2 linked regions of the Arabidopsis thaliana genome follow. The protein of the gene in region 2 interacts with the protein of the main gene of each other region in a pairwise test. Each region holds a gene or a part of one and is shown on either strand. Other genes may lie near its edges.

Region 1 (7,112 bases), on a different chromosome or scaffold from region 2:
AAACTCACAATCTGTCTTAGTGTCGTTAACGTGTCACCAATCAAATTTAAATCATTATGTATATCACATCTTGTAAAAAAAAAAGAAAAAAAAAAAAACAATATTCGTGTGGAGGCTTCAATTTTCTGGTGGAATTATACTGTACCAGAAAATAAGTTTTCATCAAATACATATGCATATGCTCCATCCATGTCAATTGTGTGCTTTGCATAAAGATAGAAATTATTAGGAAGAATGTGGAAATGTGAAACAAAAGAAAGAAGGGCTAAGAAAAAAAGGGCTTAGAAAGATGAACATGCTTTGCTTTTTTATGTGGGTTAAAGATAAATTTTAAAACTTTTATAAAAGTTACCGCAATTTTTCCCAAAATTTAAGAATTTATTAGCGTTGTGTAAGGGTGTTTTTGAAATGGATAAAAAGTTATCTTTGCTATTGCTTTTGTTATAAAAATTGACTTTAACAGTAAGAATATATTTGTTTATTTAACAAGTGATGTACACTTTACTTAGATTGGTCATCGACAAGTCTCTCTCATTTGCTCATTAAAAGAAACACTAATAAGTTATGATTAAAGCTATACATATACTTGCACTGTTGCACACATCTATCCTTACCATTGTAATTAGATGTGTCTTATATTATTCTCCGCCAACACTGAATTTTAAGTAGTGCTTAGTTTGACACTAATTGTAATTTGATGATTGCTTATGGATCTTTAGGTGATTATGAAACCGTGCATTTAGCTAAATCATATGAACAGAATTACCTACTATGTTAGTTAATGAGAATAAACATATGATTTAGGAATTATGCTATATATTTGATAATTAGAAGAAGATTACTAAGCTGGTTGTATTTTATCGTCTACAATTCACAACCTAATTTATGCATTTTGAAATACTATTATTATATATTCATATCTAAATCGAATCTAATAATTGATAGTTTTGAAATTCAAAGTGGGAAGACGTTCACTATGATGCATGCATGATAATCATACCTAAGACGTACTTTCACTTCACTAAAACCAAAGAAGAATCAAATGATGAATTGACTTCAAAGTGGGGGAAAAACGAAAGATTCTTTAGTAAAAAGCCAATTAGTGCAACCCTTTAACGAAAAAATAAAAGCTAAGCAATGGATTATAGTAGCAGACATTAAAGACTGGTTGTCTTTTTTTTTTTTGACCCGTTGATGATAATCTTAACTACACTTCCATGAGTTCAGTAAATTGGAATCCTATGCAAAATGCAACGTGTGTGTGGACACGTACCAACGTACGCTTGCTCTATTTTAGAGTCTCAATCGTACGTGGCAGTATAGAACGAGCGATAAAAACAAAAATATATTGAGTAGTAGATCAAGCAAAAAAAATGTAGTTAGTGTTTTGACCAAAAAAAGTGTAGTTCTAATTAGTACTGCGAGACGGAACAAACAGTACAAAAATAAGCAGGATCAAAAGTTGAATGGTAAATATGAAAAATGCGTTACTGATTTTTTTCTTTCTTACTTACATTTTGAAAACAAATTTTTAAGTATACCACCCATTACAAACAATTAAGGAAACGGTCATCGATCAGTTGCAATATTGTTGTTTATGACAAAACTTCATTGCAAAAATCTTCTTATGGGTTTTGTTCGACTGCTCGAATGTATGTGCGAAAAGATGGCCTTGAATACGCAATTTAATATATAGTGAAATCCGTATTTGTATTTAATTAAAATTAATTTTGCAACTTAATGTTACCAAGAAAATAAATTAGAATTCTAAACTAATTAATGATATATAACATAATTAATATTTTCTGATAACTATTCTCATTTTAGAGTGGAACTCATACATTTTCATTCGATTTGGTGGTAAGCTCATTATCACCAAGCCACATCATAATATGAATGCTCATGCATATTTTTTTTTGAGGCATTGGACAAAAGGTTTCGTTGTGGTCCATGCATCTACCCATTTCAAACGGTTACTAGAGTTTGTGTTTGGTTTAACGTAAAACTACATTCCTACTACAAATTATATAACAAAATTTTAATTGCATATATAATAACATTTGCATGCAATTTGGATTTGCGGCCACAGAAGAAGTTCTCAACAGCTCTCAGCCTCTCGTACGTTCAACAACTCAAGTGTTTCAAACTTAGATGAGAATCGTGATTGCGGAATCAGAAGGAAACAACTTTATCAGAAATAAGAATACATTCAAACAAACTTACATACTAGCTAGGAGACCGATATCAGAACAAAATGCTTCGGAAAACTCTCGACATGCTTACATTCTAACATAGGTCTGACTACTACGAGATATAAAACGAGTCAAATCTAAGAAATTAAACAAATCAAGAGATTAAGGGCGGTCGGTATCTTGCTTCGATTCTTCACCTTTCTGCTCTCCTCTAATGCTTCCAGAGTACTAAAAAAAATAATCAAAAAGATACGTACGTTAACGTTAAAGTACTATCGTTAGTGTATTTCACACTACTATTTAAACTTTTACGATATAATAAAGTTGTAAATGTTAACAAATTCTATCATCCAAATATATATGTCGAACTGTTTCTGATCAGAAGTTAAGACTATTGTTGAAACGAAAAGTACTTGGAAATGATGAAGAAGGTAGGAGGACTAAATGACTAATAGGGTGGTTCGGTGGCAAGTTCCTTTGGTGCGTTACACCTGAAACACTCTGACCTGCTTGCGAAGTTATGTTCGTTACAGCCTGACCTATAATATACAAATTAAACCAATCAGTTTCTACGATATGCATATACATTAATACAATTTAAACGGTCGTGTTTAGCTTACGTAAGCCAGCATGCATGTTTCTTTTTTGGCTTTAAGTTTTAACCATCAAAACATATTATTGCAAAAAAATAACATCAATACATAGAAACAATCAAACAAAAAAGTACCTTGGGCAAATCCAATCTCCAGATTTCCAAGGAGAACGGCCCGTACCACCACCACCACTACTGCTGCCGCCAAAACCAAAAAGGCCACGTCTCGGACCAACATTCATGTCCATAAACCCGGTTGTTGCAGCAGCACTTGAGCATGAAAACTCATCTTTTGCGGCACCACACTTGAAACAACTGGACCTATTGGCAAAATTATGTGTCCCACAATCCCCAAGGTTGCAATACCAATCCCCGGGTCGCACATCGGGCCCGGTGTTGAAACCGAAGGAGCTACTAACCGGACGGCCACCAAAACCGCTGAGTAAATCGGTACTGATCCCGCCCGGTCTAGGCTCTCTACAACGTTGGCATGAATCCCTCCTCTGGAAGTTGAGGTGGCTACACAATCTGCAGTTCCAATCTCCCGGCCTATTCATCTTCTTCTACAACACCATAGAAAATAATAATTAAGTAACAAATTACACAAAACTAAAGACATATGTATCTACAAATGTAACTTATATATATGTTATGATTACCTGAGGGTAATGGAAACGAAAAAGAGAGTTGAAATGAGTGTAAGAGCTTATGAAGGTGTTGTTGTACTCTCACAATATATTTATATGGACAAAGCAAAAGGCCCTTCCTTTAACAACCGGGAACATTTTTTGAAGTGAAATTAGGGTTTCAATTGGTTTTTACTTTCTTATTTTGCTACAGCTTTAATGCATTTCCCTTTAACATTTGGGTTTCTCCGTAAACTACGTTATTCCCAAAAGAAACAAATTTATCTATTTATATATATCGAGGACTTTAAATTAATTTATCATTTCTAGACCCCACTATTTTAAACAAAAAAAAGAAACACAAGGTTAAAGCTTTAGATATCAGCCGTTTTCATTTTGCGTCAGCTTCACAAAAGCTAATACTGGCAAATTCAATACCATTTACTTGACAGATGTATATATCTCCATATTTATCAACGTACGTACTTATTTTAAGACACCTAAATATTTTAAAATTAATCAAGACGTATTCTAATAGATTATTATAGTGCCAAATTATAATCCGAGTTTAAATTCGGAAGTGTGCATGCATGGGTTGTAAACGAACTTTTAATTTAAATTGAAAGATCAAAACAAAAATATGGGAGGAAAGTAATTTTAAAACACTAGTCCTAAATTCAAAGAGAAGTATTTACAAAAGAACCAAAATCTTACTGGTTGTTTATACAAGATAACAAACTAAAAAGTTTACCAGATTACATACCAAGATGACTAAAAAATATCTCTTTAATTAACTCTTGCTTTTAAAATGGTGGTGTGGAAATATAGATATGTAAACCTATATCTTTGGGGGCACGAAGGAGAGTGAATCCTATTTTATTGGTCTCGAGGTTTTATAACACTTGAATTGATAATGAATAAGAAGAACTAAACTAGAGATACTAGAAATCTCCGACTATATGGTAATATGGGTATATTAATATAGTTTTCTTGGACTTACTATATAATTTTTGACTAACATGTGGTTTCTCTATGAGACAAAATGAAATTTTCACTAAATTTCACAAACTAAACTAAAGCAAAGCAAAGAAAAGAAAAAAAGAAAAAAAAGATTCTTAGACCTTATTGGGACCCCAGTTCGTATATGCTTATAGATTTCTTGTTAACTGTATATGCACATATAGATTGACTAACGATGAGACAACTAAAGCTGATATATTCTCATTATCTATTTCGAGCATGTACCACTTTCATATTATCAATCGCAACTTCGTGGTATAACTTTTTATGTAGATAATTAATAATCACATGTATCTATATATTGATGGTCGATGGAGGAGGTACATGGATGTATAATATGCTCTTGTGTGTGTCAGGAGAAAAAGGATGTAGCATGAAGTAAAAAACTCTCTAAACTGTTAAAGCAAAAGTTGCATGGCAACAGTTTCAAGGAACGTATATGTTCCCTTAGCCGCGGAAAATTATAAACGTCAAAGGAATAACTTCTCTTTTCTTTAATTCAATTAGTCTTGTTACTAATATTCAAGTACATCCATCAGAACTTATTCGTTCGTGATTTTCAAAACAAAGACTTAAGAAAATCATGAAAAATTATAGATTAAAACAAAAACAAGAATCATTAAATGGGAGGGAAAAGGCTTTGAGGTTCGTATCTTGACCATCTACGTGTCCTTTTGATTCGTCTACTACAACTACAAGACAGTTTCATTCACTTTTTCTATTTAACCCTATGATTTTTATTTCCCTTACTATATATCCCACATACAAATTATAAATTGTCGTTTGTGGGTACACTGCAATCGCTTTTTTTACCGTCAAATCACCCTTTCCATTGTGGTATACTTGTCTCTCTAAAGTAAGAGTCAGCTATAAGATAATAAGACGAAAAATCCACAGTAAGATGTAACAGAAGAATGCCACGAATGACTAAAAGTTATATAACATATGAATTTATTTAACTTTCGAGATATATATAGGGCAGTAGAATACACCAGCAGTAAAAATATACTTAAATAAATGAAGAACAATATCTTCTAATATTTTTTCAATGTAAAATGTAAGATAATGTAGTGCATATATATTCCCATATATACATCCCAGCTCTAATTTTCATGCACTCCACCCCCATACAAGTGTTTTGTAATATTCATAAACTTTAAGGTTCCAACTCTAACCTTAAAGTTGAGATGCTACCATTACAATGTATAGGAATTAAAATATAGGTTATGGGGATTAAATATTATACGCATTATATCTATCCAACTCAGTCCATGGCTCCGAGCGTAATGCCTTATCCATAAGTCGCCGTAAAAGCTAACTAACTCGACGTCTCGACATTGAAGAAAAAAGAATGGGTAACTTAAAAAGAATATATAAAAATAATGGGAAGAATTATAGAAGAATCAAAATAATTAATAAACCCACCATATTGTCTCGGGGAATGGTAAAGAAAAACTGACGAACACAAAAGAAAAGAGAGAATCTATTCGATTATCTTTGGGAAATGCTTCCATGCATCATCACTTATCTCCCCCTTCTCCAAAGTTCTAGATGTCATATGATTTCCCCACGTCTTTTATTTAGGATGATACAATTATCTATGCATTTGATCATTCGCAAGGACGATTAGCTGAATTCAATTGTATGTTAAGAAAATAAATTACAGGACTAAGTTGAAGATGTAGCTGCTGCTGATGAAAGTGTTGAATGATACAAGAAGTAATACATGATTTTATCTGATAAAATTGCTGAATGATTCAAGAAATAATTCAGGATGCGACAGTTTTGTGTGAGTATCGGTTTCTAGAAGATTTGAGAAGAGCGTGTTTAGAGGATGAATCAAAAAAGAAAAAGGACTTAAAGAGATTTGGAAGACTTGATGAAAGTGGAGTTTGATGAGAAAAAGGATAAGAGTAAATTTACTTTTTCTTATGGAAAAAGGAAATCTTCTCCTATGGTGATTAGGAAATCGTTTTGGCTACATAAGGAGGAGGTAGGACGTCTTGGAGAGGCAGGAGAGCTGAGACATAAAGACAAATCATTGAGAGCTTTCTAAGGGTGTGTGCGACATAGTTTCACGGTTTTATGCGACATAGTTTCGCGGGTTTGGTGCTTGTGTGATCAAGCTTGTTTGTTGGTGCGTGAAGGTTATTCCAGAGACTTGGAGAATTGAAGTCTAGGCTCAGAAGGAGTTTAACTCAGGGTTAGGTTATCCTGATTAAATCTAGACTCAGGGGAGTTTAGTTAAGGGTAGAGATTATCCTTAAGGTTTCACGTTTATAGAAGGGAGCGGTAAATCAAGAGGGGTGTGCTTGTTTTACGCGTTTGCGAATTCATTGTAATTTGCTTTCTTGTTCTAGTGAAATCGAAATCTGGACGTGGTCCCGGGGAGTAGGAAAAACCGAACCTCGTTAACAAATTTCTTATCTCTTTACTTTCTGCACTTTATTATTACCTCATCCGCACTTACATAAGTAGTAATCAAAAATCTCAACTAATACGATGGCGACCGAAATGTTTTTAGAAAGTTAATTTATCTACTTACATATGATCAATAATGCAAGAGTAATTAATTCCTCGCATATGAATGGAGATCAAATAGATAGTGTTTGTAGGTTCCGTGTTCGCGTATCGAAATAAAAAAATCAATTCCTAAATTTCTAGATTGTAGTTTGGGTCTTT
Region 2 (8,922 bases):
AATTTAACAGTCAAGATCAATTGCGAAGAAACGGTTTTTGGTTTAAACCTGTTGAACAGGATAGCTAATTTCATGGTTGAGCCGTCTTCTTCAGCCACTTGATCATCAAAACTGAGGATCTTTTTTTTGTCACCTTGTGAAAATGTTACCAATCCTTTTTTTTATAACATTATTTTGATACATTTATGTAAAATATAAATTATAAATACAATGAGATTTCAATTTCATACACATGCTCTTACTAAATCAAGAAGATTCCCCACAACCAACAAATCATGATACATTTTAATTTAAATAATTTTTTGTACTTATGAATATCTTAATGATGTTGACACTAAAGATAGAAGAAGAAGATAAAATCAGCAGTTTTAAGAAACCAAACTAATCAACTTGGCTATGCTTCCATCCTCCAAACTGTTCTCCATCCATTCCCCTGTCTTGCTGAAAATTCCCAACAAAAAGTAAAGAGTTTACTTCAATCAGAGAGTAAATAAATTTTAGTTAAAAAAAAAGAAAGTAAAAGTAAAAAGAAACTAACCAAAAGAGAGTAAGAAACTCCAATGAGAAGCTCGCCGACAAAGGAGAGATCGGAGTCAACAATGTTGTACTTGGTTGGCCTTAGCTCCGCCGTTCCCTTCTCCACTCCCATTTCCAATAGCTCTTTCACATGTACCCTATTTATTCATTTCCATTAATCAAGATTAGTCCATATTCTTTTTTTCTTTTCGATTTCAGTTATGTATAGTTTAGGGCTATCATGTTATGTGATATACGTACGTGGCTTCGCCAATGAAATCGTCAGAGGAGAAAGTATCATGATCCATGACTTTGACGATGAGTTTGTAGTCGGCGCCGGAGCCAGGAAACTCTGCTCTCCATTTCAATTTATCATTCCATGTCGGATTTCTACCTCCATCTTCTTCATTTAAGTAAACAAAAAAGATGAAAATTTGATAAACGATGTTTGTACATGAAATATGATAATGAGAAAAGAACATTGTCCAGTTTGATCCGTTATTGGTAAAGTAGACAAAAGCCGTTTGATTAAAGCCGTGCAATCAATATCTCACTAAAACACCATTTTCTTCAGTAAAACATTAACCAAGTCTAGCGAGGATTGTTTACATCACAGTAGTTTTCACATTTCACTACCCATTTTTGTAGGAAATGAAAATATTATTTCTTATAGCTAGTAGTTTGGTGTATTAGTTGGTGATTAGTTAAAAATAAGGTTGGCCAGACAATATCACACTAAATGAGATGACTACTTTCAGAAGAAAGCTCTATCCATACACAACATTTTTCAAGATTTAAACCATATACATGAAAACAAACTTGCAAGCTACCACAAAATGTCTCAAAATATAAAATAGTGTAATGACAAATAGTGAAATGATAAAAGTAGCGGAAAGCATTTGAGAGTTGGGATGAACAAATTTTGCCGAATAATCACGAACAATAGTTAGCTAGTTTTTGGAAAATTGATTGTTTTATTTTCAAGTTACACTTTTAAAACATGCATTTATATAACTTATGCATCATCAGAACGTAAAAACCTGATGAATGTTATAACTGATAAAAGATAATGAATGTTATCAAAACGCGAATAAATAGTATAGCCTAAGCTACCATGTAATGGCTATGAGGATAGTTGAAATACCAATGGATGCAAGTTGCAACTATTATTTACTTTATGTACAACCATCAACTAACACCAGCATGTGGGCTTTTTATTCCTAAAGTCCAAGTATATAGAAAAGAAAATGATGAAATTGGAGAAATAGTCTCTCTCGCATAAAACGAAAAAAAAAGTCAAACGAAATAACCCGAATTAAGCTGATAGAGATTTGGAAATATGGAAAGAAGGAAACTAGCAAGTTAAATTACCTTTAGCAACGCTGCTTTTGCGGGTTTGCCCTTTGTATTGGATCTCAACATATGGATCTATCTTACCTACAATCATACAAAACCAAGAAAAATATAAATTGTTGTAAAAGGGTTTTTTAAATGATCAAAGGATACGAAATCTGAGAGAATAGAGAGATCATTACCAAGAAAATCAGAGCGCTTGAGACCTTTGCCACTGATCAGACTAACCTCAAGGATTCCAACAGCCATCTCTGTAGAGTTATTTTTTAAGTTTTTGGGGTTTGTGTTGTTTCTAAAGAAAAAGAAGAAGAAGAAGAAGAAGAAGAAGAAGAAGAAGAAGAAGAAGAAGGAGAAAGAGAAACGATTGATGAAGTGGATGTGTCAGACAAAGTCTTTAAATACAGAAGCAAGAACACGCAGACTTTCTCGTTCACATAATGATTTTTTACTATTCTTATTTACTCTTTTTCAATTTTCAAACATAACCTGCGTCGTGGTTCCAAGACTTGATCAAACCAAACCAAACCATTATTACGTAACAGGAGGCAAAACCTAAAGTTTATAAGTCTGGTCAACTAAGCTAAAATGACCATCTTACCCTTACTTAGTTTAAGGAAAGACTCTTGGCTGCTTGAAAAATGTATACGAACCCAATTAAAAGTAGAAGTCTTTGGACTTTTGATCAAAACAGACCCAATAAAACATCATTATGGCTTCTTCTAGATGAATGAGTCTTTTTATTCTCTTCTTCTCAGAAATTCTTAGACCTGACTTTCCTAATTAAATATCTGCAAAGGCTGCTCGAGAACAAAAAAAGGTCGCAATTCTCGACCTCGACCATACGAGAGAAGACTTGGTTTACTCGCTCATTGTGGGTTTTAAACCTGTCTCACATCAAAAGCATAACCAATCTTCTTCATACAATTTTATAATAAGACCCATAAACCGAAACCGATTTCAAGTAACATCACATCACAAGACAAAATATCTTTGACAAGCCAGAGTAAGGAGTTTTTAAAGACACAGAGACGCACTACTAGAGAAATGCAAAACCCATAAAGCGTTGCACAAAGTTTTGGTCGGCCACTTCTTCACATAAGTTTCATCTTGGAGATACCTCCACAGACCTGGACCTGGATCCTGATGGCGACCTTGAAACTGCTCTTCCACCACGACGTCTATCCTCTGCTTCATAGCCCGGTTTTCTATTAAGACCAATCAATGTCCAGATACGAAAAATCAGACACAATCTTCAGGGGCAAAACAAATCAGACACCATGTTTCACTTACTCTCTAATCTCATTGTCTCCATTTCTGTCCCGATCTGGAGCAGCAGCAGCAGCACCTTCATAGCCAGGGGAGTAGGACCTACGACTGTAATTTTCATCTTCTTCCCCACGAGGAGGACCTCCTCTTCGTCTTGGTGCAGGAGAGTAAGACCTGTAACACCATTATCTAAAACCATATATACTTCTTGTTGACTTGATGATGATGGAAATGTATGTGTGATGAAGCATGTTACCTTGATCGGTATCTGCTTCTAGAATCTGACGGACGACGTGGAGAACGTGATCGAGAGATTGAACGTGAACGAGACCGTCCTGAGAACAAAAAATCATAAACATACTCAAGCTGTGTATACAAACCATGAGAACATGTATAAACAAGTGCTTTCTCAAGCTGTGTATAAACAAGTGCGTCCCAATCTAGCTGTGCTAATATTTGTGTAAACTTTGCTGGTATAGAACATAACATGTGCATAACCAGAGAGAAAATTACTAACCATGAGAACGATCCCTGGAGCCTGAAGGTTCCCTGAAAAATTGAGACAACGCAACGATTATTTCCTTCTCAACTTCTTTTCATAAATGATGGATAACTTGCAGAGCATTAATCACGAAGAGCGATTTGATTGATAACTCTTTTGCTTAAGCAATCAGAAATATGGAAACTTACCTACTACGAGTCCTAGTCTTCACACGCATCTCTTCAGGCCTTTTCCTAGACTCTGAAGCAACAACCACCGTTATCTCTCTTCCAGCAAAGCTTCTCCTGTTCATGCTTCTTTGAGCCTCCCCAGCATCATATGCATCAACAAACTCCACAAACGCAAACCCCCGCGGTTGCCTGCATCATTTATCAGAAGCTTATCATTCCAAGTGGTTGATGGTTGAAAGCAAATGCACAAAACACCAGATAAATCTAGAATTACCAGCAAAATCAGCCTACATTCTACAGCTTCTGAGAACTTCTAAGTAAACGTCATCGTGTGAGAACTTCTAAGAAAAGCAGAGTTCTACTTACGCTAATATGATTAGTAGCTGACCCTTTCATAACAGTTCAAGCATATCAACTCGAAAAGAGGCAAGCATCTTGTAAAAATAAGATGCACTTGATCCCAAACTTAAGTTCTCTTCAGGTCGTCTTCCCCAAAAAACTTCTAAGGTTTTGAGTAATTTACTGTATAGCTTCATAAAGAACATGCTTCACTTATTACTGCTTCCATTCAGAACATTCTTCACTTACTACTTGCTTCCAAACAAAACATTCTTCACTTATTACTTGCTTCCAAACAAAATATTCTTCACTTAATACTTCCTTCCAAATAAAACATGCTTCACATATAACTTGCTTCCAAACAAAACATTCTTGATTTGAAATGACCCTTAATATCCTTAAGTTAAGATTTTTTTCATGAGGCCTTCATCAAATGTGGGGCTTGGTCTTGTTTTAACTTCAAGCCAACATACCCCCTGGGAAATCAGTGGAATGTTTAATTTACTATGAAAAAAAGAACTCCAAAACAAAAAGCTCTGAAAAAATCGAGAACTCAACCAAAAGGACCTCTTCTCACCTCGAGAACTTAGCTCGATCAAAAAGTGGAGTGTATAAAAAAAGTAACATGCACAGGTTGCGCCAAAATCAAAATTCAAAACTCATATGTCACTTGCAATTTTCCTCACTTTGTGCACAAGTTGAAGACTTATGAACATCCTTTTTAATCAAAACAAATGGTTCAGCATTGAATGTGAAGCAGCAAAGTGTTTAGACAGCATTTTTCAATCGTAAAGAAAGCAAATTCTACAGGAAAACAAGAATCATATGCTAAGCCATTACCTAACTAGTCCATCTATAAAAGATTCACACCTCAAAAGACATAATTCGCAGCACAAATTTCAGGTACAGTGAAAAAGATCAAGATATCGAGAAGGAAAGAGGAGGCTTACCCTGAGTAATAGTCTCTGGGGATATAGACATCTCTCACAGGTCCAAACCTCTCAAAGGGCTCACGAAGCTCTTCTGGTCTACAAAATCAAAAACAACAAAATCAACAACAACCCAACGAAATCTTCAAAGATAAACTAAAACAAAATCAAAACTTTAAACCAAAGGAAGAGAATTTACCTGCAATCAAGAGGAATGTTACGAACCAAGAGACTTCCATGGCTAGATCCTCTACGTCCACCACCACCACCACCACCACCATATCCACGTCGAGGAGGAGGAGGAGGAGGACTTCTACCTCGACCACCGTATCCTCTCCTCGGAGGACTGTAATAAGGCGGACTGTATCTCCTCATCACCTACCATAGAAACAAAACGATTTCAACGCAAGATCCTCAATTTCATCAAAACAAAAACTTGTTTCTTGGAAGAACAGTGATAAATTAGGGTTTACGGTCGGAGGATTGTGGAATTTACCTGCGACGGAGTTAATTTGATCACTTGAGAGTAGCAATGTTCAAAGACAGATCTGAAGTGAACCCTAAGCCCTTCTTATGAGAGATCAGAGAATAGAGAAGAAGAAGACAGATCTTTTTCTATTGATCGGAGAGCTTGGCCCATTTATTAAATGGGCTTTTGGCCTTATCGCGTTTTTTCCTTTTTCGCGTATGTTTTTTTAAATGGAAAAAGGGAAAGATTGTTGATTGTTGACAATTAGAGAAACAGTAAAAAAAATTGGGGAAAAAACAGTTTTAGTAACTTTTAACATTTATGACAAAAACAAAGTAACCCTTAAATATATAAGTTTACTGAGGTGACTTGTGTTTTGGAGATTCTCGTTCTAAATTGATATAGGAATTTTGAAAACCTCAAATTGAGTTAGTTCTTGTTCTAAAATAGTGACTTATTTGGCTATGTTGAATAGTTATTGATATTGATTTAACTCGAGATCCATTTTGGCTTAATTAACGTAAAATTTATTTATTTCTGGTTGATGACAATGTTCATGGAATTTGATATTTATGGTATTTTGTGAACTTCGGAATTGATATTAATGTTACATTATGAGTTTGTTGTACTATTCTGTCTGTTTTTGGCTACAAGTTATTTATGATTCAATCATCAACTATACTAATTAAAGTCATTTTCATAAAAACAAATCAACTTGACAGAAATTAGTTACATATATAGTAAACTAAAATGTTAGAAGAGAGTGGAATTGATCACTACCACATTTTGGCATATATCACCAAACTATAGATAGAGAGAAAACAAGTATCTCCAAATCGAATATTTCAGGAGCAAAACTATAAGCAGTGTTACAAAATGTCAAAATCACTTCGCACAATATTACAATACACAAGAAGAAGACATGAAGAGTACCTAACCAAGTAACCTTATATTTCCCTCTACCTACTACAATCCAACGGTTTTTTTGTTTAAACCGTTTCTCTGGTACTTGTCTTCTGTTTTCAATCCCACAAGTTTCTTGGTATCCTTAACCTTAAGCGGGTCAACATTGGCCGGTTTAACCACGCTGTCTTGCAGCTGTACCAAGGCTCGAACCACTTGGTCCATGGTCGGACGTGATTTGGGTTCGAATGATAGGCATTGCACAGCAATGCTTGCCAGTCTCACTGCTCCTTCGGGTTTGTACTGTGAGTTAAGCCGAGTGTCCACAATTAGTAGAACCTTTCGCCTGCTTGTGAGGTATGGTCGAGCCCAATCCACAAGGTTTTGCTCCTTGGCCGGGCGGTTATGGTCTAGTGCTTGCCTTCCACATAGTAGTTCTAGCAGAACAACCCCGAAACTGTATACGTCGCTTCTAGCATTTAAGTGGCCTGAAAAAAGATAGAAAGATGAGAGAACGAAACTAGCTATCAACCCATATGCTCCTTTAACCACATAAATTTTATAGTTGCTATCTTCAAATTTACATTAAAAACCAGTGTTAGGCACCATGCAACAGTCTTACATTTTCTTATCCAACCATTATTACTTGCATCATATCTTAGTGACAGAATGTACCTGTTGAGACATACTCAGGAGCTGCGTACCCAAAAGTACCCATGACCCTTGTACTAACATAACTTTGTTCTCCCATTGGACCGTCTCTCGCTAAACCAAAGTCTGAAAGCTTTGCGTTGAAGTCCTGTTGTTTGAAAGACAAAACTCAGTATCTTTTAAGTCGTTGATAAAGACAACAAGTAGACATCGAAAGAGAAGAATACCGAGTCCAGTAAGATGTTTGACGCCTTGATGTCTCTGTAAATGACTTTGACGGGATCACTATGAAGAAATGCAAGACCTTTAGCTGCATCAAGTGCAACCTTAATCCGTAGAATCCAAGATAGCGGCTTAAAATCCTTATTTCCATCTTCAAAAAAATCATTCAAACATAAGAACAAACAACCTCTCAAAGTTTCACAAAACATGGACGAGATCAAAGACTCACTTGCAAACAGATGATTCTCAAGACTACCCTTGTGCATAAACTCATACACAAGAAGCCGTTGTTCATCTTCCAAGCAATAACCAATCAATTTAACCAAATTCGGGTGACTTAACTGCCCCAAATAGTTAATCTCTGTCTGAAACCACAAAAAAAAAGATCAATATCAGAACCTACACACACAAAAACAAAAGAGTGTTATAAATCAAAGATAAGAAACAAGTGTTGTACCAGCCATTCTCGGTGACCTTGAAAACCATCAGGGTTAAGTCGTTTAACAGCAATAACAAGACCAGAGCTAGATTTGGTAGGAGTAAGAGTAGTCTCATCAAGCCAACCTCTAAAGACACAACCAAAGCCACCTTCTCCAACAACAGAGTCCGATCTGAAGTTTCTAGTAGCGAGTTTAAGTTCATTAAAGCTAAAGCTTTTGACGGTCGTTGAGCTAAGGATTTCTCCTTCTGTCTTATGAGCTGTAGCTGATGATGAAGATTTACAGCTCGAGAGATGAAGATCATCGAGACCACTACTGCTCTTATCTGCACAACACACAAAAGCGTTGACCACAGTCAAAATTGAGAGAACGCCAAAAAAGGGGAAAACTTTATTCAGTTAGATCACAGGAAGAAGATTCTTGCAAATTTCATTCCTTTTCTTAAAAGCCATTATCGATTAACCAAAAAGATCACGGATTTGAAGAGATACACATGTGTGAATCACAAAAAAAAAAAAAAAAAAATGGGAGATGGAGAATTGTAGAGAACGTACTAAGGACACGAGAACTGAGACAAGAACCCATTTAGTAGAATGATGAAGAAGATCGTTTTTTTTTTTTGCACTTTTCTCTGACAATGAATTTCTTCTTATGCTGTTTTTGGGTGGAGCAGATTCTATCAGATAAAACTCATTAAAGCGAAATAATAAAGAGAAAAAAAAAAGAGAAAGAGAAAAAGTAAACACTGAAGAAGAGAGAGGATGAGAGAAGAGAAAGAGAAGATGTGTGTTGATGAGATGGTAGAGGCAACCGAAGGAAGAAGAAAGGTCTTTTTCTTGTCCAAACAAAAAAAAAACGAATTCAGACAAAAGTTATATTTTTGACCAAAAGATAATAAACGAGTTCTAAATAAAATTAGTAATAACAATTTAATGATCAGTGGGACTTTTCTATTGTATGATTTTTAAAACTTTTGAAATTCATAGATTGATTTTGATGATCTTAAGCATCTGAGTAAACGTGCAAAAAGATCACTAATGATATATGTTTAAGATTCAAAATAACGTTTTTAATAGATATGACATCTGAGTCAGATGGTCATGAGATTTTGGAATCTTTAATAGGCCTGAAATAAATTCGCCGTGGTGGGGTTGGATACAAA

Evidence for each region.
Region 1: the proteins of SCL30 (region 2) and AT5G25490 interact in a two-hybrid assay, tested with the Arabidopsis thaliana proteins (one large-scale study listed by BioGRID).

What each region holds. Positions count from the first base shown.
Region 1 is NC_003076.8:8,872,868-8,879,979, reverse strand, and holds AT5G25490 (Ran BP2/NZF zinc finger-like superfamily protein), read right to left. Parts: upstream 3,660-7,112; 5' UTR 3,444-3,659; intron 3,348-3,443; 5' UTR 3,342-3,347; coding exon 2,920-3,341; intron 2,732-2,919; coding exon 2,641-2,731; 3' UTR 2,606-2,640; exon of another isoform or gene 2,421-2,605; 3' UTR 2,076-2,420; downstream 1-2,075.
Region 2 is NC_003074.8:20,557,552-20,566,473, reverse strand, and holds SCL30 (SC35-like splicing factor 30), read right to left. Parts: upstream 5,673-8,922; 5' UTR 5,572-5,672; intron 5,454-5,571; 5' UTR 5,451-5,453; coding exon 5,275-5,450; intron 5,175-5,274; coding exon 5,097-5,174; intron 3,997-5,096; coding exon 3,826-3,996; intron 3,685-3,825; coding exon 3,653-3,684; intron 3,471-3,652; coding exon 3,392-3,470; intron 3,310-3,391; coding exon 3,160-3,309; intron 3,075-3,159; coding exon 2,972-3,074; 3' UTR 2,589-2,971; downstream 1-2,588. Other genes in the region: PAT2 (protein affected trafficking 2), read left to right, coding at 1-102; AT3G55470 (Calcium-dependent lipid-binding (CaLB domain) family protein), read right to left, coding at 382-441, 539-674, 778-919, 1,888-1,953, 2,052-2,118; PBL1 (PBS1-like 1), read right to left, coding at 6,511-6,935, 7,123-7,246, 7,326-7,471, 7,550-7,685, 7,778-8,148, 8,267-8,345. UniProt on the Arabidopsis thaliana protein: Involved in intron recognition and spliceosome assembly. Probably active at the 5' splice sites.